Linked DNA regions of Xenopus tropicalis. The protein of the gene in region 3 purifies or fractionates together with the protein of the main gene of each other region. This does not show direct contact. Links are inferred from orthologs where the notes say so. Each region holds a gene or a part of one and is shown on either strand. Other genes may lie near its edges.

Region 1 (6,428 bases), on a different chromosome or scaffold from region 3:
CTTTTATTACAAAACCCCAGGGAGTTGCTAACAGAGAAAAAGGACATGTCAATCAAGTCTGGACGTAGAAAAAAGGTTTACAACTTAAGAAAAAAGCAAATCCAATAGAATGTAAATTCTAATATACGTGATTACAAATTCACAAGGATTACTAGCCACATAAAGACATGATTCTTCTGACAGCCTTGACTGGTTTAAGCCTTTCCCCACAAAAACAGAATTTCTTGTTTATATAGTCCTTTGAAACCGATGGCACTATCTGAGAAAACCTGAAGTTTCATCTGGTATGAATGCAAGGAAGATATAAATAACAGGCTGACTTTCAGATCCCTACAGAAGGTTTTGCAATGGAATATGAGGTAGGAGCACGTGCAGAAAGAAGTACTGCTTCCTCCTAAAAGACTATGCAAAAGCCTAGGGTTATAATGTTCTGTGCAATGAAGGACAACAAGCAGCAGTCACATAAAGGTTACTGTGTTTCAACTCAATTTCATCAATCCTTCAGCAACTCTCCAAGCTTTGCTAGAGATTTAGCATCTTCCAATCTGCACAGGAATTCATGAAACAACTTAAAAGGTTAAGTCCAACTTCACTGCATTGCAAACCACGGCTCCTGATCTGCCCACTGAGCAGCTTCACTGTCACTGCCCTCTAGATCTCCCTCTTCTCCACTCCCCTCCATGTCATCAACATCTTCTTCTTGAGTGGCGTCAGTAGGGCTCTCTTCCTTCTCCATTTTCTGCATTCCCTCCAAGGATTTTTGGTCATTTGGATCCAAACTAAGGACCAAAAAACAAATTGTATGGTTTTACCTTGTTTTAGATGATGAACATAGGTTGCCCCCTTGTTTAGTATTTCATTGCAACACGTACCTGAGCAATTTGTTGTTACAATAATGAAACACTAAATAGGAGAAGCAAGAAGACACTTGCATCCTTGACCATATGTAACAATGGGCTTCACATCAGAAAAACCTGTAGCAACCAATCCAATTTGTGCATTCATTATTCTAAATGCACGAGAGGGGCCAAAGCTAACTGCTGACTGTCTGAACACTTTTTCAAGAATGTACTTTCACAATATATACTGCATCTGATAACAATATTTTATTAAGAGGGGGCTTGGTTGTAAAGATTTACCTGAGGGCGATGCTGTACTGATCCATAGCTTCCTGAAACTCATTAACTGCCACCAGAAAATCTCCTAGCATCCGATGTAGTACGCAGTCACTCTGGTTTGCAAGGGTATTACGCAGCAGGGCAATTCCCTCTTCATACTTCTGCTCTCGACCTGAGAAGTAATCAACATTTAATGCATGATTTAATATCACCATTTCAGCACATTTAACATGCTCCATACATTCACACTAAGCACATTTAACATGCTACATACACACTGCACTTAAACAACCATACCCTAAAAATTAATTTGGCTAGAAATGCCATAATTTATATACTGAACTTACTGCAGAAAATGAGGCTGGCCTGTCATACAAGATGATGCTAAAGGGCTGATTATTAAATTCTGATGCAAATTGCACTGGTTACTAAGCTGCCATGTAATGTGAAACTGAATAAATTACTAATCAGCCTGTATTGTGACATTTATATTCTATATAGACAGTATATTGTGCGTCGGTCCCTAAGCTCAGTAAGTGACAGCAGCACAGAGCATGTGCAGTGAATCAGCAGAAAAGAAGATGGGGGGCTACTGTGGCATCTTTGGAGGCTCAGATCTTCCCTGCTAAAGGGCCTTCGGCTGGTACAGAAGCCCAAAACCTAATGCACAACGTTTCTAGCCTACTTCATTAGTTATGCTTTAGTTCTCCTTTAAAAAGCACTTAAAAGCTATCCCTTACACTTGCCTTACACTTGCACATGAGCCCTGAAATTAGCACCTGCATTAAAGATGCTATTTCCAGGGTTTCCGGAGTTCAGCTAAACATGCAAATAACTTGTGTTTAGTAAATCATGCCCTAATGCCATTAATTTGCATCTACACTAGTAAATCATGCACAATTTGTGGCACAATGTCTGGTTTGACAACAGAATTCTGGGGGAAAATGCTGCATCATAGGTAAATGAGTCTTTTTGTGGCCAGTAGCACACATATTAAGATATTCTAAATATCACCTAACTACATCATTAAAGAACTTACTTAGTAACTCCGCTTTCTTCACAACAGCCTTTATATAATCCGGTCTCTGAATGAGCGCTTTGTCTAACAATGTTTTTGCTTTCTCTTGGGTAACAGGATCTTCCAGGCACACAGTTGCCAGCAGAGTTAGAGTTTGTGCGTTGGCTCCAAGGGTTTTGTAGACATTGTTGGCCATCACCATGGCTTCCCGCACACTGCTGGATGCCAAATAGCATTCAATGAGACCTGGGAAGATAAGATCAGCTGCTCAGAAATAGAACATTTAAAGGGACATTATACTAACAAAATACAAAATTTGTATATAAAAGAGAAATGCAAAACCTGAATGATGAAATCAAGTTTGGTTTTATTTAACATAACATTTGTCATCTGGGTATTTTTTATTACAGTCAATTAATGTTACTTGATTTTTACCTAAGCAGAGGATTTACTAGCCTGGATTGCAATAAGAGAACTATACAAATGCAAGAAATCCACCAATGCACATTGAATGCATATATTAAAAGGGTTTTTTGGTAATACTTCCTCATTTTGCAATAAAATCATAATTATAAGTCTTGCTCAGATGTATTGTTTTCAGCAAACCTAAGCTTCCCCAACAAATATTACATCAGTAATATGCAATTTCTTGATTTTAAAAATCCAAATAAAAAAATATTACGCTTTCAAAATGGTAAAGCCATTTTGGTAATTTTACTTATCGAAACTTTAAATAATAAGGTATTGTGCAGAAATGGCTGCTTTATTATAAGTCAAAAATACAGAGTCTTGGAAAGCATGCAACCACACAGAATGACATGTATCACAGAAGGCTTCAAATGTGGCTTTGCAACTCACTGCTTTTATAGGCTACTTTTTTACATGTTTGCAAATGACATGAGATGCACAAAAATACTAATACGAAGCCTATACGTTTAAAGTAACCCACCCAAAGAATGCCATTGGTCAAAACTAGCACACCCAAAGATTTCCTTGCGGACAGCATTTATATCATGAGCTGTTAGCTGCTAAAACTGCAGGGTAGAGATAAGAGTGATTAAGCTAAGTCATCTTTTTGCTCTGTACGCCCTTTTACCTTTAACAGAGATTAGTATATATGCATACAGTGGATATAAAAAGTCTACACACCCCTGGTAAAATGTCAGGTTCCTGTGCTGTACAAAAATGAGACAAAGATAAATCATTTCAGAACTTTTACCACTCAATTCAAAAACAAACTGAAATCTTTTAGATGGAGGGAAGAAAAACAAAAAAACTAAAATAATGTGGTTGCATAAGTGTGCACACCCTCTTCTAACTGGGGATGTAGCTGTCTTCAGAATTAAGCAATCACATTCAAAATCATGTTAAATAGGATTCAGCATACACCTGCCATCATTTAAAGTGCCTCTGATTAACCACAAATAAAGTTCAGCTGCTCTAGTTGGTCTTTCCTGGCATTTTTTTGGTCACATCCCACAGCTTCCAAATCATCAGAGGGATCTCAATGTTAAAATATATCAGTCAGGAGAAGGGTACAAACATTTGTTCCAAGGCATTAGATATACCATGGAACACAGTGAAGACTGTGTTCATCAAGTGGAGAAAATATGGCACAACAGTGACATTACCCAAGAACTGGACGTCCCTCCAAAATTGATGAAAAGACGAGAAGAAAACTGGTCAGGGAGACTACCAAGAGGCCTACAGCAACATTAAAGGAGCTGCAGGAATATCTGGCAAGTACTGGCTGTGTGGTACATGTGACAACAATCTCCCGTATTCTTCATATGTCTGGGCTATAGGGTAGAGTGGCAAGACAAAAGCCTTTTCTTACGAAGAAAAACATCCAAGCCAGGCTACATTTTGCAAAAACACATCTGAAGTCTCCCAAAAGCATGTGGGAAAAGGTGTTATGGTCTGATGAAACCAAGGTTGAACTTTTTGGCCATAATTCCAAAAAATATGTTTGGCGCAAAAACAATACTGCACATCACCAAAAGAACACCATACCCACAGTGAAGCATGGTGGTGGCAGCATAATGCTTTGGGGCTGTTTTTCTTCAGCTGGAACTGGGGCCTTAGTTAAGATAGAGGGAATTATGAACAGTTCCAAATACCAGTCAATATTGGCACAAAACCTTCAGGCTTCTGCTAGAAAGCTGAACATGAGAAGGAACTACATCTTTCAGCATGACAACGACCCAAAGCATACATCCAAATCAACAAAGGAATGGCTTCACCGGAAGAAGGTTAAAGTTTTGGAATGGCCAGCCAGAGCCCAGACCTGAATCCGATTGAAAATCTGTGGGTTGATCTGAAGAGGGCTGTGCACAGGAGATGCCCTTGCAATCTGACAGATTTGGAGCGTTTCTGCAAAGAAGAGTGGGCAAATCTTGCAAAGTCAAAATGTGCCATGCTGATAGACTCATACCCAAAAAGACTGAGTGCTGTAATAAAATCAAAAGGGGCTTCAACAAAGTATTGGTTTAAGGGTGTGCACACTTATGCAACCACATTATTTTAGTTTTTTTGGTTTTCTTCCCTCCACCTAAAAGATTTCAGTTTGTTTTTCAATCGAGTGGTACAGTTTATAGGTCACATTAAAGGTGGAAAAAGTTCTGAAATTATTTATCTTTGTCTCATTTTTGTACAGCACAGGAACCTGACATTTTACCAGGGGTGTGTAGACTTTTTATATCCACTGTATATCATTTCTGCAACACTTCTATATTGTTTAATAGATCTGTATATTTAACATCCCAACTCACCTGCCAGCAACCAAATACAAGCATTTATTTTAATAAATAACAAATAACTGAGATCCACCCATTTTCTTACTCACCTTCACAGCAGTCAAGCCGACAAGGTGCTAATCGAATTGCTTCTCGGAAATGAATTATTGCTTCCTGCACCCTTCCCATGTTTCTTAATGCTGCCCCCTTTAATAGTAAGGCTTGAACACTATTGCTGTTCAGCTGGATAGCCTTGGCACCTAAATACAGGGCTCTGGAGTGTCTCTTAGTATAAAAGCTGTGGCACCTAGAAGGAATAAATCAGATTTATATCTTAGTAGTAGTGGTAAATCCAAAGCAACTTAGAGAGATTACTTAGAAAGTCATGATGTTTAAGGCTTACCACTACTACATGCTACTAGATACTAAATAGTGACAATATACTAAAGAATTTTTTACAGAGAGTCAGCTACATCAGTCACGCAAGCCACTTTTTGGCAGCAGTGTACAAATAACACTTACCCAGAAACCACCCATGGCTCAGCATGCTGATCAGATATATTGAACAAGCGGCAGCCAAGATTTTCCACATCTTCCAGTCGACCTTCACGGGCCAGCAAGTACCCATATATATCCATTCCTTGGAGGGGTAAAATGATATTAGATGCAAAGGTTTGTGCCTCTGATTTGTCCCTCTGGAGCTACTACCTGGCAGTCAACAATTACATCGCCCGTAACTACTTGTCAGGAAGTTGTTGCTTGGGGAAGGACTGGAATGGTTTTGTTCCCTTAATAACTGCATTGCTATGCATCATTGCAGGCAACAAAGATATTCCCATGCAGCATTACCCTAAACCTTCTTTATTAGTCACCTTGTCCATTGTCTTAATTAATAAAGATGTCCTCTACCCACTTGTAGAATGGATCTTCAGTGCAGTTGTTAGCTGTCACTGAGTGTTGCCAATCAGCTTCCTGTTTGCTAGTATTCCTAATTTTATCCCAAATTTACCAGAATTAAGTATGTATAATAAATGTCAATTTTATGTCAGGATAACACACACACACATTGTAAAAACAAACCTTTTATGAGATAAGGATCCAGCATCTGGGCTTGCTCAAACTTAAGAATGGCATTTTTATTGTCACCAACACGGAAATACAAATCTGCCAAGGTCCCCAGAAGATCTACATTGTCCCTTAGCAAAGATTTCTTTTCTAGAGAACTAAAACAACAAACATATCAGAAACCTAATTTATCATATGAATGAAAAATATTGATTATAAGCAAAGATATATATATATTTATAAGATATATTAGGTTAGTGATGATAGATAGATAGATAGATAGATAGATGATAGATATTTGCATTGCATTGGTAATCAAATGTCAAATCGTACAACTTTGCTATTAAAGAAACATAGTTATGTACTGTTCAAATATTCTCAAGAAAAACTCATTGTTAAAAAAAAAAAAATAAGATAGCTAATGATAAATAGATAGATAGATGACAGACAGGCAGATGAAGGGTGCCTAACTCCCAAAACACAGTACTTTTT
Region 2 (6,428 bases), on a different chromosome or scaffold from region 3:
AACCCATCAAACGCACAGATATAGAAAGGACAGTACCTTTAACATGAAGTTAGCATACATTACATTACATTACATTAACATTTATTTATAAAGCGCCAACATATTCCGCAGCGCTGTACAATAAGTGGGTTACATACATTGGACATACAGAGTAACATATAAAGCAATCAGCATACCTCTGTAAATGGCTAATGACTAGTTTTTGTATGGTAGAATAAGACGACTCAACTGACTGTCCCAGCTTCTTTAGGCCCTGGGAAAATTAAAAACACTAGTTACTACAGGTAATCTAATCCTAGGACAAAAAAAAAGGAGTTACTTTAAGGACTTACTTTAACAGTTAGTTGGTTCATTAGAAGTGCTTGGAGTTCAGGGCTAGATCATAAAAAAGAAAATATGCTGTATTATATATATATGTGAGGATTCTACACACAAACAAATATCCCGCAACATGTAAGTGACTGTAAGTGAGTATAATGGATAACTGTCCCCACCATCCCAAACATAAGAGATATTAGCAGATATAGCCTGGGTCGGATATAAAACTAATAATGCATATTGACAGTCTTTCAAGGAAAATGAGAAATTAAAACAGATACCTTGCTTTGCCCCACAGGAGTAACTGCATGAATTCATCCTGCACAGACGTAGTTGTGTTTTTTTCCTGAAACAACAGAAAGAAGCAACTCACTGGGATTGTTGTTACGCATATCATCTGTTTGCTGTGGAAATTGACTTTATACTTTCCTTCATGGTTGTTTATCTGCATAGTACTATACCTACAGCTAGGTAAATCAACCATATTTGCAAAAATAATTCACTAGCAGGTGTTTGTCATGAATTTAACAGGACTGACACTCGTTTGAGTGGCCAGGGGTTCAACACTTTTGTAAAAAATGGCCCAGCAGACAAAATAAGAGGGCTATGGGAGGAAAACAAAGACTATGGAGATGTATGCATGGCCAGTAGCCTACTTATTGAGAAAAACAGAGCAAGTGTAAAATATCTATGCACTCACCTCTTTATATTTCAATCAGAACTGGGATCAACTTTTTTTGGACAGAACAGGAGTGCAAAAGGAAGTTTCAGCACACTTCCTGATCTTCAGCTCAAAAAGCACTTACATGGATCCAAATTAAGACAAATAAAACAAAAAACATTTTATTGTGCCCTTTAAATTGAGCTTCCAAAAACTTACCATCTTCAGCTGCCAAGTTTACAGCTGAACATGCCTCTGGCTTTTTGAATAGACACCTGCATTTTACTAGTCTCCCTGTACCTTACCAGGTTATACCTACACAGTTATGTACTCAATCAGAACTGATAAACAAATTTGAGATTTGAGATTTTGATTTCTAAGAATCTTCCTATACCCACCTGTACAAACTTTGTTAATCGTGAATCCATCTGCATCAGTATTTCTTCCCAAGCTTCACACATACATGTCAGAGACAACTGCAAATACTGGAAAACAACAGAGGAAAATTACAATGCGACAGAGGGAATGTGCTATGAACCGGTGAAAAAAGTGAGAACTGTAAGATCTCAACAAATCTGATACCCATTTTACCTGAAGGAGTGTTGAGATGTGGGTAAATTTTCTGGCCATCCGAGTCACTTCAGGTAAGCAATCTGATAACAAACTGGTGTCCAGCTATAGAAACAAACAACAAGGCTGGACATAAAAATCAGGGTCTCAAAAAAAACTATTGGTTTACACATAACCAGGTAGACACAGACCTGAAAATAGGTAATTTCAGGCATACTATTTGTTGTCAGTTCAGTGACAACAGAGAGAGACTTGAGATCATTAGACAGGCAAAGTCCCAGGCAAGATCCATAGACCTGTAGAAAAAGCAGATATTTTGTATTATGTAACATAATTCTAGTTATACCTCAATGAATATGAATGTAGGATTCTGCTTAACATGCAACTAAAGTAACATATGAAGTAGGCTAGAAATTACGTAATGTATAGGGCTAGAAGGGCAGTAGAATTGACAGAGAATGTCCATGCCCCATAGTTGTCCCTGAAATCTTTTATAACCAAATGTGGCTTGATTAGTATGTTGGCTAAAAGTACATGCATAAACATGAGATGACTCAACGAAATAAACAGATCCGGAGCGCATAGAATGGGGGAAAAAAGAAAAACAATAATAGTGTAGTAACGTTTAAATATTGTGACAGTATTAAACCCCGTTTAAAGTTCCCAGTGTTCAATAAATTAATATTAACACCAAGTGTGGTACTGCTAACTGCTCACCAGATGGCAGTGTTGTTGAAGTAAAATAAACGTCATGTGTTCATTGCAGACTTGTAGCTGTTTGAACGGATATTGTATCCCTGGGATGTGTCTCAATTGTATCGATGTATCCTCCACGTCTGATTATCCTTATGTGCACTGTGGCTATATCCTCATTGAGGCATACAAAAAGGAAAAAACCGCCACTAGTGCAATATGATTTATTATAAAACAATATATAAAGAATAAAACTTACAGTATGTAGTCAGATATAGGAACTCAATAGCCCGAAAAGCCCAACGCGTTTCGTGCACTGCTCGGTGCACTTCCTCAGGAGCAAGAATCAAGTCTTGACTTGACTTGACTTGATTCTTGCTCCTGAGGAAGTGCACCGAGCAGTGCACGAAACGCGTTGGGCTTTTCGGGCTATTGAGTTCCTATATCTGACTACATACTGTAAGTTTTATTCTTTATATATTGTTTTATAATAAATCATATTGCACTAGTGGCGGTTTTTTCCTTTTTGTATGCCTCAATGAGGATATAGCCACAGTGCACATAAGGATAATCAGACGTGGAGGATACATCGATACAATTGAGACACATCCCAGGGATACAATATCCGTTCAAACAGCTACAAGTCTGCAATGAACACATGACGTTTATTTTACTTCAACAACACTGCCATCTGGTGAGCAGTTAGCAGTACCACACTTGGTGTTAATATTAATTTATTGAACACTGGGAACTTTAAACGGGGTTTAATACTGTCACAATATTTAAACGTTACTACACTATTATTGTTTTTCTTTTTTCCCCCATTCTATGCGCTCCGGATCTGTTTATTTCGTTGAGTTTACTTCGGAACCCAGTCAAAGGGGTTGTTTTAAGACGGAGCTGCAGTAAAGAAAACTTTTACACATCTAATTTTGTTACACGATTCAAGTAAAGACTGGACACTTTATTATTTGCTAGCGCTGAGGACTTTTTTGGTATTTTTGGTATTGTTTTTTACCTCACTACATAAACATGAGATGGCAAATCTATATACAACTAAGATTTGGGGTAAGAACCCACGGAGTGGTTTCGTCGCCCGCAATAGATCTCTGCTATAGCAGCATGCGACAAACTGTTCTGAAAAGGCTTTCCACCAGCAACAATAGAAGTCACCGATGGAAAGCCCTTCACATCGCTGCGGTAATCCAAAGCCGTGTAAAGTTTCCTCCTGCAGGCAACTTCGAGAAAATTAAGGGATGCGAAGGGCTTTTCCCCGGTGACTCCAATTGTTGCTGCCATAGCAGAGATCTATGGGCGGGCGACTGAACCGATCTGTGGGTTCTTACCCTTAGAGGTAGGAACTTATTAACCTAAATACCAGTTTCATACCACTCTATAATGTGATTGGTGCGTTTAAGTAATTTATATTTATTACCTCTGAAATTGTTGCAATTTTGTACATTCCATAGGCATATATTTCAATTTGTCCTGAGTCTCCTCCAAGAACCAAAGCATTAAGTCTGAAGGAGCAGAAGTGTGCAAATGTTAGTAATAATAAGTGACTATAAAATATAAAGTTATTATAAGTCACTGATGCGTTTCATGACCATATAAAAGCAGAAGGCCAAAGGCAGAGTGATGTCTAATATCCTCATATGTTACAAGCAGGATACATTATTATAATACATAAGTTTCAGTGAGTCAAATGACATCACTAAGCACCCATTATGACTGATATTGTCACTAAACACTGGTATACACAATGGTATAATTTACAGGATATTCATGGCTCTTGTGTATTATAAGGATGTAGTCACTATATAAAGGCTCAAAGTTGAAGGATTTTAATTTGGCAATGGAACTTCAAAGTGGCTTTATACATTTTTCCGCAGTAGTATATCATTTTTTCTCTTTATAAGACACAAGTTACAATGAGTCATGTGACAAGTGAAGTGAAATCAATTTAAATTATTTTAAAAGGTTATTCATGACTCTTGTGTATTCCAGCCATATATAAGGATAATATTACCTAGTTACATAACAGCAACAATATAAGAGGGAGTTTTTTACCCTATTAAGTGTCAACTTTTTGTTGTCAGCGCAAATTATACACGTTTGCCTCAAACAGTATCCTTTCTTACCTCACATCTCCTAATAGCTTTAATATTTCATCAGACTTTTCTTCACTGGAATATAAAATATACATAAAATACATATAAATTGTAAGAAATGTTTATGTGAACAATAAAAAAGGTAAAAATATAAGAGAACAACTTACCTGAAGATTTTTGCTGTGGCAGTATAACTAAAGAAAGAGAAAATCATTTTTAGTAGTATAACAATTTAGGGGTGTTTGTTAGCTGCAAAGATGACACAATATTTAAAGGGGTGTTAATCTACCCAAATTGTAAAGAGGTTAGCATGATAAGAACAGTGATCCTTGTGTTTTTTTGTTAAACATGTTACAGCTTCTTCTATATGTCACTGTGAGTTGCCTGTCGACTTGCAAACCTTCTTGCGGGACAAACTGGCTAGCATTTAAAGAGTTAAACTGCTAATTAGTTGCAGGGGATACTGACCCAAGAATCAAGCCAGCGGACACACAAGACCATGAATATTAGAAGGCCTAAATCATCAAGATATACATTTTTGGGTGGCCAGGGTCACTGACCCAAGAAGCCAATTGGCATTTTTAATGCCAATAATATGTTAGGGAGTAATTAATTAAGAAATGGAGCATCTGTTTGTAAACCAGACATTGACAGTGAGGTTTGAGTCCATTTAAATCATTGAATCAAAACACATGAGTTAGAAACAGAAAAAAAAGCATTCATGTAAGAGTTAAGAACATACTGTAACCGTAATAATATGCTTAGCAAATAATTACTTTTTGGGCAGTGCAGGTAATTTGGGCAGCAGAACATTAGATTCATCTTCAGCATTGTAAAACGAAGTCAATACACTGAATGAAAAAGAGAAAATAGCATTAGGGGCACCCCGTATACAAATACACGCTCCAGCCCTATAGTCTCATCTGAAAAACAAATAAATAACATAAGATTTAAACCATGAAAAAAAATGTCAGTGAGTGTTCTGAAATTGTGGTACACCGCTGAGCAACAATATTTGAGTCAGATTTTTCTATGATTAAAACAATGGGGCAAAAAGTACGTTCTGCACAAACTGAACTAATGTTTTACAAGGGGGTATACACATCCTATAATGATGCAATTAAAACTATTGACATTTTTTTTATTTCACTTTTTATTTGTCCAGCACCTCTTTAGTTAGGCATTTAAAATGTTATTTGGTTGCTACGGAAAAGACTAACAAAAACGCACACAAACAAATCTTCCTCACAATCTGATTTCTGGATGCAATGATCGCTGGGAGTTTGGAGAGCAACAGGGAGGCAAATAATTTGAAACTTAAGATCAGATACAAAATTTCTTGTATTTCTTCTGTCAATAAATCCTAAAAGTTAATATTTCAGTGAACTTTCCTTTTTCGGATTGGTTAACTATGCAGCATGATTTGCATACAGTGCCCAATTTCAGGACTTGCCTGTTTTCCACCTTTACTTCCATCCACTGCATACATGATATTGGTGTTTCCAGTGAGAAGGAATGGAGACTTTCAGGTTTCTCTACATCACACAAAACAACTTTCTTTGTATCAGCAAGACCAAATGCCAGTACTGCCAAGAAAAGGGAAAATTGTGTTAAACAAGTGCTCTGCTGAATTAGAAAATGTGAAAGTTAAAAGGGCTCATTTTCTATAGGACATAAAATCACCAGTGTGTTTGTGCAGATTCTAGGAGCACATTTTCACATTACAGAAATGAAAAAATATTTGCACAGGCTCTCATCAAGGGCAGATAACAGGGAGGCAATAAAAAGATAGATGCGTGGCGTTCGGCATACCCCATGCTAGTGATTTTAGGTAACCAACAAGAGTCCCATCAGCGGGTTCCTAAGAACTTAGAACCCCCAATTGATTTCTAGGCATCCTTCACCTTTAAACAAAGGTAAGGAGCAAAGGTCCAAATATAGGTGCCAATCAGTTCAAAGATTTGCATTGTATAGTGAATGGCACCAATGTATGAGGAGCACATATGCGGCCCATGGACATCTATGTGCACACCCCTTACCCATGCTACAGGTGCAAATGGTGCCACTGGCTCCAA
Region 3 (5,975 bases):
CCTCTCTCTGTAGGCTTGTTGTCAAGGCCACATAACCTGTTTGGGGTTCACATATGGACTGATGAGAGTGTATTTTTGGGAAATGGCAGACGTGCTTATAACACATGTTCTGTACCCCCCCCCCCTCTTCCAGCTGTTGGTATGGAAAGAACTGGACTATGGGACAATGACCGAGGCAGAGAAACAGATGCTGGTCTCTGAAGTGAATCTGCTGCGAGAACTCAAGCACCCGAACATTGTGCGTTATTATGACCGCATCATTGATCGGACCAACACTACCCTCTACATAGTGATGGAGTACTGCGAAGGGGGTGACCTGGCCAGCCTCATTGCTAAATGCACTAAAGAAAGGTACCGGCATCTAACAAGAACACTCTCCAGTAATGATCTAGTACATGGGCTGACACATTGATGGGCATTGATGTTTCTGCCAGTATTTCTATGGAGACGGGGATTAAAAATCTTTTGTCCGCTGTTGCAAAACTCCCTGCAGTGTAAAGGCCTGACATGTTTGTGCATAACCCTTACAACGCAATGCTGCTATTCACTGGAGTGTATTATAGTTTTGGCACAGGGAGTCTGGCAACAGAAAGTTTATCCAGGTCAGGGGAAATTATAGGAAGGCAACAAGTAAAGCTGTTGCGCTTCTTAGTGTAAAACCAGCAATACAGCCATGTGTTAAGATTAAGAATTGTAAGCTCTGTGGGGCAGGAGTCTAATTTCTTGAGTCTTTCATACTTGGCTTTTAATCTTTGATATAACTACTTTTTTTGTATTGACACCTGTTTTATTCTATGAATATATTGTTCTACTATACAGTGTAGCGCTATATAAAGAGATACATATATACAGAAAGCCAAATTCACTGGGGTGGTGCCAATTTGTTAGGTGCCTCAACTGAACCTAATCATTAAGCTGGGACCCCAGGCCAGCACCCCTTTCTAACTAGCTATGTTCCATTTTGTCATTTCTCAACCATATGGTGGGCAGTACCCATTGCCTTGGTATTTTTTACAGAAGAGGAGCCCCAGCCCCAGGGTCTAAGGTTAGGGATTTGATTTATTAGGGGGGCTGCCTACAAGAGTGGCAAAGTAACACTTTTAGTTTAAAATCCTTTTTTTTTTTTTTTTTTTAAGGCAATATTTGGAAGAAGACTTTATCCTACGTATTTTTTCCCAACTGGCCCTGGCACTTAAAGATTGCCACAAAAGAAGCGATGGTGGTCACACTGTGCTCCACCGAGACCTGAAACCTGCCAACATCTTCCTAGATGCCAAAAACAATGTGAAGCTCGGAGACTTTGGGTTGGCCAGAATACTGCATCATGACTCCAGTTTCGCCAAGACGTTTGTTGGCACACCATACTACATGTCTCCAGTAAGTATCTGGCTGTGATATTGTGCAGTTTGAATACGCTAGTGACTTGTATTGGGTTAGTATTCTAGGCTTACGGAACTGGAGTCTTTTCTTAGAAATCTGGAACTGTTCTCTTCAACACTGTTTTCCCTGAGTGTTGCAAACGCTTGCTCACTTGTAGCGGCATGGCTAGTTTGTCCAGTTTCCTCACTGCCCTTGAGTCTTGATGGCTGTATTGAGACATTTTCTTCTGTCTGGAAAGTACGTAAAGTTTGTTTATATCCAGTGCTGAAATATGGAGGTGGCTAGGTGGACTCTTCCCTTGCAACTGTGCAGTGCTAGCTTAAGGCCATCTTGGAAATTGTATCTCCGACAAGGTGCCTATGGCATCAGCTCGGGGTACAAGGTAGGCGATTTAAGTCACTTGGGGGTGCCTAACATTTTGGCACCCCCAGTGACTTTGCCTTTCCTTCTCCTTTAACTTTTTCTTTTAAATGGGGGTGGTGACAAAGATTGGAAGTACAAATAAACAATAGTGTGAGGCACAGCAGGATCCAAGACATTAAAGAGTAGAATTTAACAGATAAGGTTACAATGTAGTATTTACCACAGAAGGCTGATAACAGAGAATTGCATACAATACAAGGCAAAACTCTGAATGCATAGGCAAACAAGGTCTTTATGAGGTATTATGCTTCAGTGACACCCTGATACATGTCTAACCAAGGGGCCCAAATTTTTTATCACACATTTCGCAGGGTGTGTGTGTGTGTGTGTAAGTTTCTTTATGGTAGAAAATGCTTTCATTCAGATGGCTACAATGTCACTGACATTACCTGGATATAGCAGGGACTGATGTAAATGGAATAACTGTGTAATATGTGCTCCATCTGCCCTAATGGTTTAAGGGGATGCTAAAAAACTAAAGCTGAAGATGCAACATTGAAGTTCATTGAGATGAATATATCTGCTACAAAGCAATACCTGAAAAATTAGAGAAACACTGCTGCCAATTTTACAACAGTGGCAATTTTCTGTTTTATGTTTCAGGAACAAATGAACAGAATGTCCTATAACGAGAAATCTGATATCTGGTCGTTAGGATGCCTCCTGTATGAACTCTGTGCTCTCTCGTAAGTAAAATACTGTTTTATTTCAGTGTTAAATCTATGTGCATCTAGCAAAAGATGAAATAAACCTAAAATTGCCAATTTGCAGCCTGTTCATTTGGGGAACCCTGTTTTATTTTAGGCCACCTTTTACGGCTTACAATCAAAAGGAACTGGCAGAAAAGATCAGAGAAGGAAGGTTTAGGCGCATTCCTTATCGCTATTCAGAAGAGCTTAATCAAGTCATAACAAACATGCTCCATCTAAAGGTAGGCATTCCCTTTGTAATGTCATGCATTAGTAATTGGCGCTAAACGAGGCAGTGATATAATTTGTGATTGTGTATAAACGCTTCATAAATGCTTAAGTGTCAGGTTTAAAGGAACAGTAACACCAAAAAGTGTTTTTAAAGTACTAAAAATACAATATACTATTGGCCCTGCACTGGTACAGCTGGGGTGTTTGCTACAGAAACCCTACTATAGTTTATATAAATACCCTGCTGTGTAGCCCCGGGGGCAGCCATTCCTGCACTGGTACAGCTGGGGTGTTTGCTACAGAAACCCTACTATAGTTTATATAAATACCTTGCTGTGTAGCCCCGGGGGCAGCCATTCCTGCACTGGTACAGCTGGGGTGTTTGCTACAGAAACCCTACTATAGTTTATATAAATACCCCACTGTGTAGCCCCGGGGGCAGCCGTTCCTGCACTGGTACAGCTGGGGTGTTTGCTACAGAAACCCTACTATAGTTTATATAAATACCCCGCTGTGTAGCCACGGGGGAAGCCATTCCTGCACTGGTACAGCTGGGGTGTTTGCTACAGAAACCCTACTATAGTTTATATAAATACCCCGCTGTGTAGCCCCGGGGGCAGCCATTTAAGGGCTCTGGTACACGGGGAGATTAGTCGCCCGCGGCAAAACTCCCTGTTCGCGGGCGACTAATCTCCCCGAGTTGCCTTCTCCTGCCATCCCACCGGCGACAATGTAAGTCGCCGGTGGGATGGCACACACGGCGGCGCAATTTCGCGCAAATCACTGAAAAAGCCTCGCAAGTCTTTTTCGGCGATGTCCCGAATTCGCGCCGCCGCGTGTGCCATCCCACCGGCGACTTACATTGTCGCCGGTGGGATGGCAGGTGAAGGCAACTCGGGGAGATTAGTCGCCCGCGAACAGGGAGTTTTGTCGCGGGCGACTAATCTCCCCGTGTGCCAGAGCCCTAAGCTTGAGAAAAGGCACAGTTTACGTAGCAGATAACCGATAATACCTCATTATATTCTACAGTGCTTATCTGATATCTACTAAGTAACCTGTGCCTTTTTTTTTTTTTTCTCTAGCTTGAATGGCTGTTTACTAAAGTTTAAAGAGATACTGAAACTTGAAATATAATAGATGTAAAACATGCAAAGACAGTGTTGCAATAATTTTTACATTATCTGATTCCCCATTTTCCCCTACTATACTATACTTTATGCAGCAGTAGGCCATAAGTATTAGAAATTCCGACCAGCTGAAAGGGGGACAGGTTGGCAAAATACTCAGGTTTAGGAACATCAAATAACAGTTACAAAAGCAGCCCTATCGGTATAGAACTATTGGCATGACCTATAGGGATCTTTTAATGGAGTAGGTTTTGTTTTTTCTTTTCTTTGTAGCTGCTACTAGTAGCTATGTGTGTCTTCACCCTAATGTTTACTCACATGCTTGTTCTGTTGTCCTTGTGTGTTAGGATTATTTAAGGCCTTCTATAGAGGAGATACTGCAGCATCACTTATTAGCAGAGTTGGTCAGGGAAGAGCAAAAGAAAACTGAAAAGAAAGTTTTGAGAGCTGCAGAGCAGGAAAGGCTATCGATGCCAGACCCTGTCCCCTCAGAACTCCGGTTAAAGGAACAGCAACTGCACACAAGAGAGCGAGCCTTAAGAGAAAGGGAAGAGCGCCTAGAGCGTAAGTGTAAAAATGTGTTTTATGTTAAGAATATTTGCACATACGACTCTATTTGGCAGCACTAACCATAAAATGTATCTAATTCTCTAGAAAGAGAACGAGAGCTGTGTGTGCGTGAAAGGATGGCAGAAGATAAACTTGCCAGGTAAGCTGTATTCTAAGCTCTTAGCTCAGTGGTACAGGTACATACTCCTCTTAGATTAGTTCTGTCCACTTATTACAAGTAGTAGTGCCATTATTACTTATGTAGCATGTTCAAGACCTGGATTTTTATTTTTATATATATATTGGCTAGTGCATATTCCCAATATCTGTAAATTAATCAGGAACTATACTTACCTGTATGTATTTGACACATTTTCTTATACTTTATCGACAGGGCTGAAACCTTGGTGAAGAGCTTTAACTTGATGAAGGAACAGCACCTGTTTCAAGCTGCTCTAGAGAATGGCAAAGGTATGAGAGCCAACAGAAAGCCTTTGGAGCCTCGGAATGAATGGAGCAAATTCTGATACATTCTATGTTTTAGTGTTTGGGTTATTCCCTGCATGTTGGCTAAGCTCCTGTAAGAGTATATGCAGGGCTCCTCAAGTTGCAATGATGCACTTTATTTGTTGTCTTTGTCTCCCTTTTTTTTTTTTTTTTTTTAAATGTGAAATAAATTTATTTGGCTGGGTTTTTATTTGCCCTATATTTAGGGTACTGGGAGCCTCTCTTTCTCTCCTGCTGGTAAGGCTGCTCCCACCTGTATAGAATTCTTTCTCACTATGTCTATTTGCTTTCCTTGTCCTAGTGTGGTCTTCCTTTATCCTGTGCCTATGACTGCTAGAACTTTAAAATGGCCCCTATGGCCTGCTATCCGAGAGGCATCAACATCCCAATATATTAGATATTATGTAATGTTCAAATAATAAGAGTTTTTAAAGTCACTCTAAAAGACTGGGCTTTGGAGAAGGAGTGTTGATGCACAGGTCCCTATAACAAACGTAAAAACTTGTCCTACATGTTCTACAGTTTGGCTTTGTTAATATTTTGTGTTGAAAACTGCTTCCTGGCCCACATCGGTTTTCCTAATTCTGTTATGGGATTCTAGTTATTTGAATAGAAAAAAAAAATAAAACTTTAAGTACAGCAGGAGCAAAAATGCTATTTTATTGTTAAATCCTAGTTTAGTTTTGTGTCCTGCCTCTTATTTTTATCTTTACTTGTTTTAATAACAATAATATGCAGGTATTAAACCTGTTATCTGGAAACCCTGTGTCCGGAATGTGCCAAATTTCCATTTTCTCAAATGTAATAAAACAGTACTCATGCTTAATCCCAGCTAAGATCTAATTCATCTTTATTGGAGGCAAAACAGTCCTAATGGGTTTAAATGATTTGTTTTTTAATAGACTTAAGGCATGGTGATTCATATAACAGAAAGACCCCTTCTCTTGGAAAATATAGATAAAAAAAAAATACCTAAAAGAGTATACTATATGATGCTGCTGGGACACATTACTGTGCTATAAACATACATCATAAAGTAAATAGACTTTTCCAACCCAAACTTGTTAAA

Evidence for each region. The genes of interacting proteins can lie anywhere in the genome.
Region 1: the proteins of serine/threonine-protein kinase Nek2 (region 3) and anapc7 purify together in Homo sapiens (affinity purification with mass spectrometry; 3 studies listed by BioGRID and IntAct, with this or other methods). This does not show direct contact. The link is inferred for Xenopus tropicalis from reciprocal best matches to the Homo sapiens genes NEK2 and ANAPC7.
Region 2: the proteins of serine/threonine-protein kinase Nek2 (region 3) and anapc4 purify together in Homo sapiens (affinity purification with mass spectrometry; 6 studies listed by BioGRID and IntAct, with this or other methods). This does not show direct contact. The link is inferred for Xenopus tropicalis from reciprocal best matches to the Homo sapiens genes NEK2 and ANAPC4.

What each region holds. Positions count from the first base shown.
Region 1 is NC_030677.2:162,758,386-162,764,813, forward strand, and holds part of anapc7 (anaphase-promoting complex subunit 7), read right to left. Parts: intron 6,095-6,428; coding exon 5,952-6,094; intron 5,512-5,951; coding exon 5,394-5,511; intron 5,179-5,393; coding exon 4,982-5,178; intron 2,383-4,981; coding exon 2,158-2,382; intron 1,291-2,157; coding exon 1,140-1,290; intron 780-1,139; coding exon 590-779; 3' UTR 1-589. UniProt on the Homo sapiens protein: Component of the anaphase promoting complex/cyclosome (APC/C), a cell cycle-regulated E3 ubiquitin ligase that controls progression through mitosis and the G1 phase of the cell cycle.
Region 2 is NC_030677.2:31,788,908-31,795,335, forward strand, and holds part of anapc4 (anaphase-promoting complex subunit 4), read right to left. Parts: intron 5,940-6,428; coding exon 5,807-5,939; intron 5,205-5,806; coding exon 5,130-5,204; intron 4,548-5,129; coding exon 4,521-4,547; intron 4,429-4,520; coding exon 4,384-4,428; intron 3,763-4,383; coding exon 3,678-3,762; intron 1,846-3,677; coding exon 1,741-1,845; intron 1,655-1,740; coding exon 1,571-1,654; intron 1,465-1,570; coding exon 1,378-1,464; intron 665-1,377; coding exon 600-664; intron 376-599; coding exon 333-375; intron 254-332; coding exon 177-253; intron 1-176. UniProt on the Homo sapiens protein: Component of the anaphase promoting complex/cyclosome (APC/C), a cell cycle-regulated E3 ubiquitin ligase that controls progression through mitosis and the G1 phase of the cell cycle.
Region 3 is NC_030681.2:14,882,938-14,888,912, forward strand, and holds part of serine/threonine-protein kinase Nek2, read left to right. Parts: intron 1-133; coding exon 134-351; intron 352-1,136; coding exon 1,137-1,377; intron 1,378-2,406; coding exon 2,407-2,489; intron 2,490-2,607; coding exon 2,608-2,734; intron 2,735-4,197; coding exon 4,198-4,414; intron 4,415-4,504; coding exon 4,505-4,559; intron 4,560-4,793; coding exon 4,794-4,870; intron 4,871-5,975. UniProt on the Homo sapiens protein: Protein kinase which is involved in the control of centrosome separation and bipolar spindle formation in mitotic cells and chromatin condensation in meiotic cells.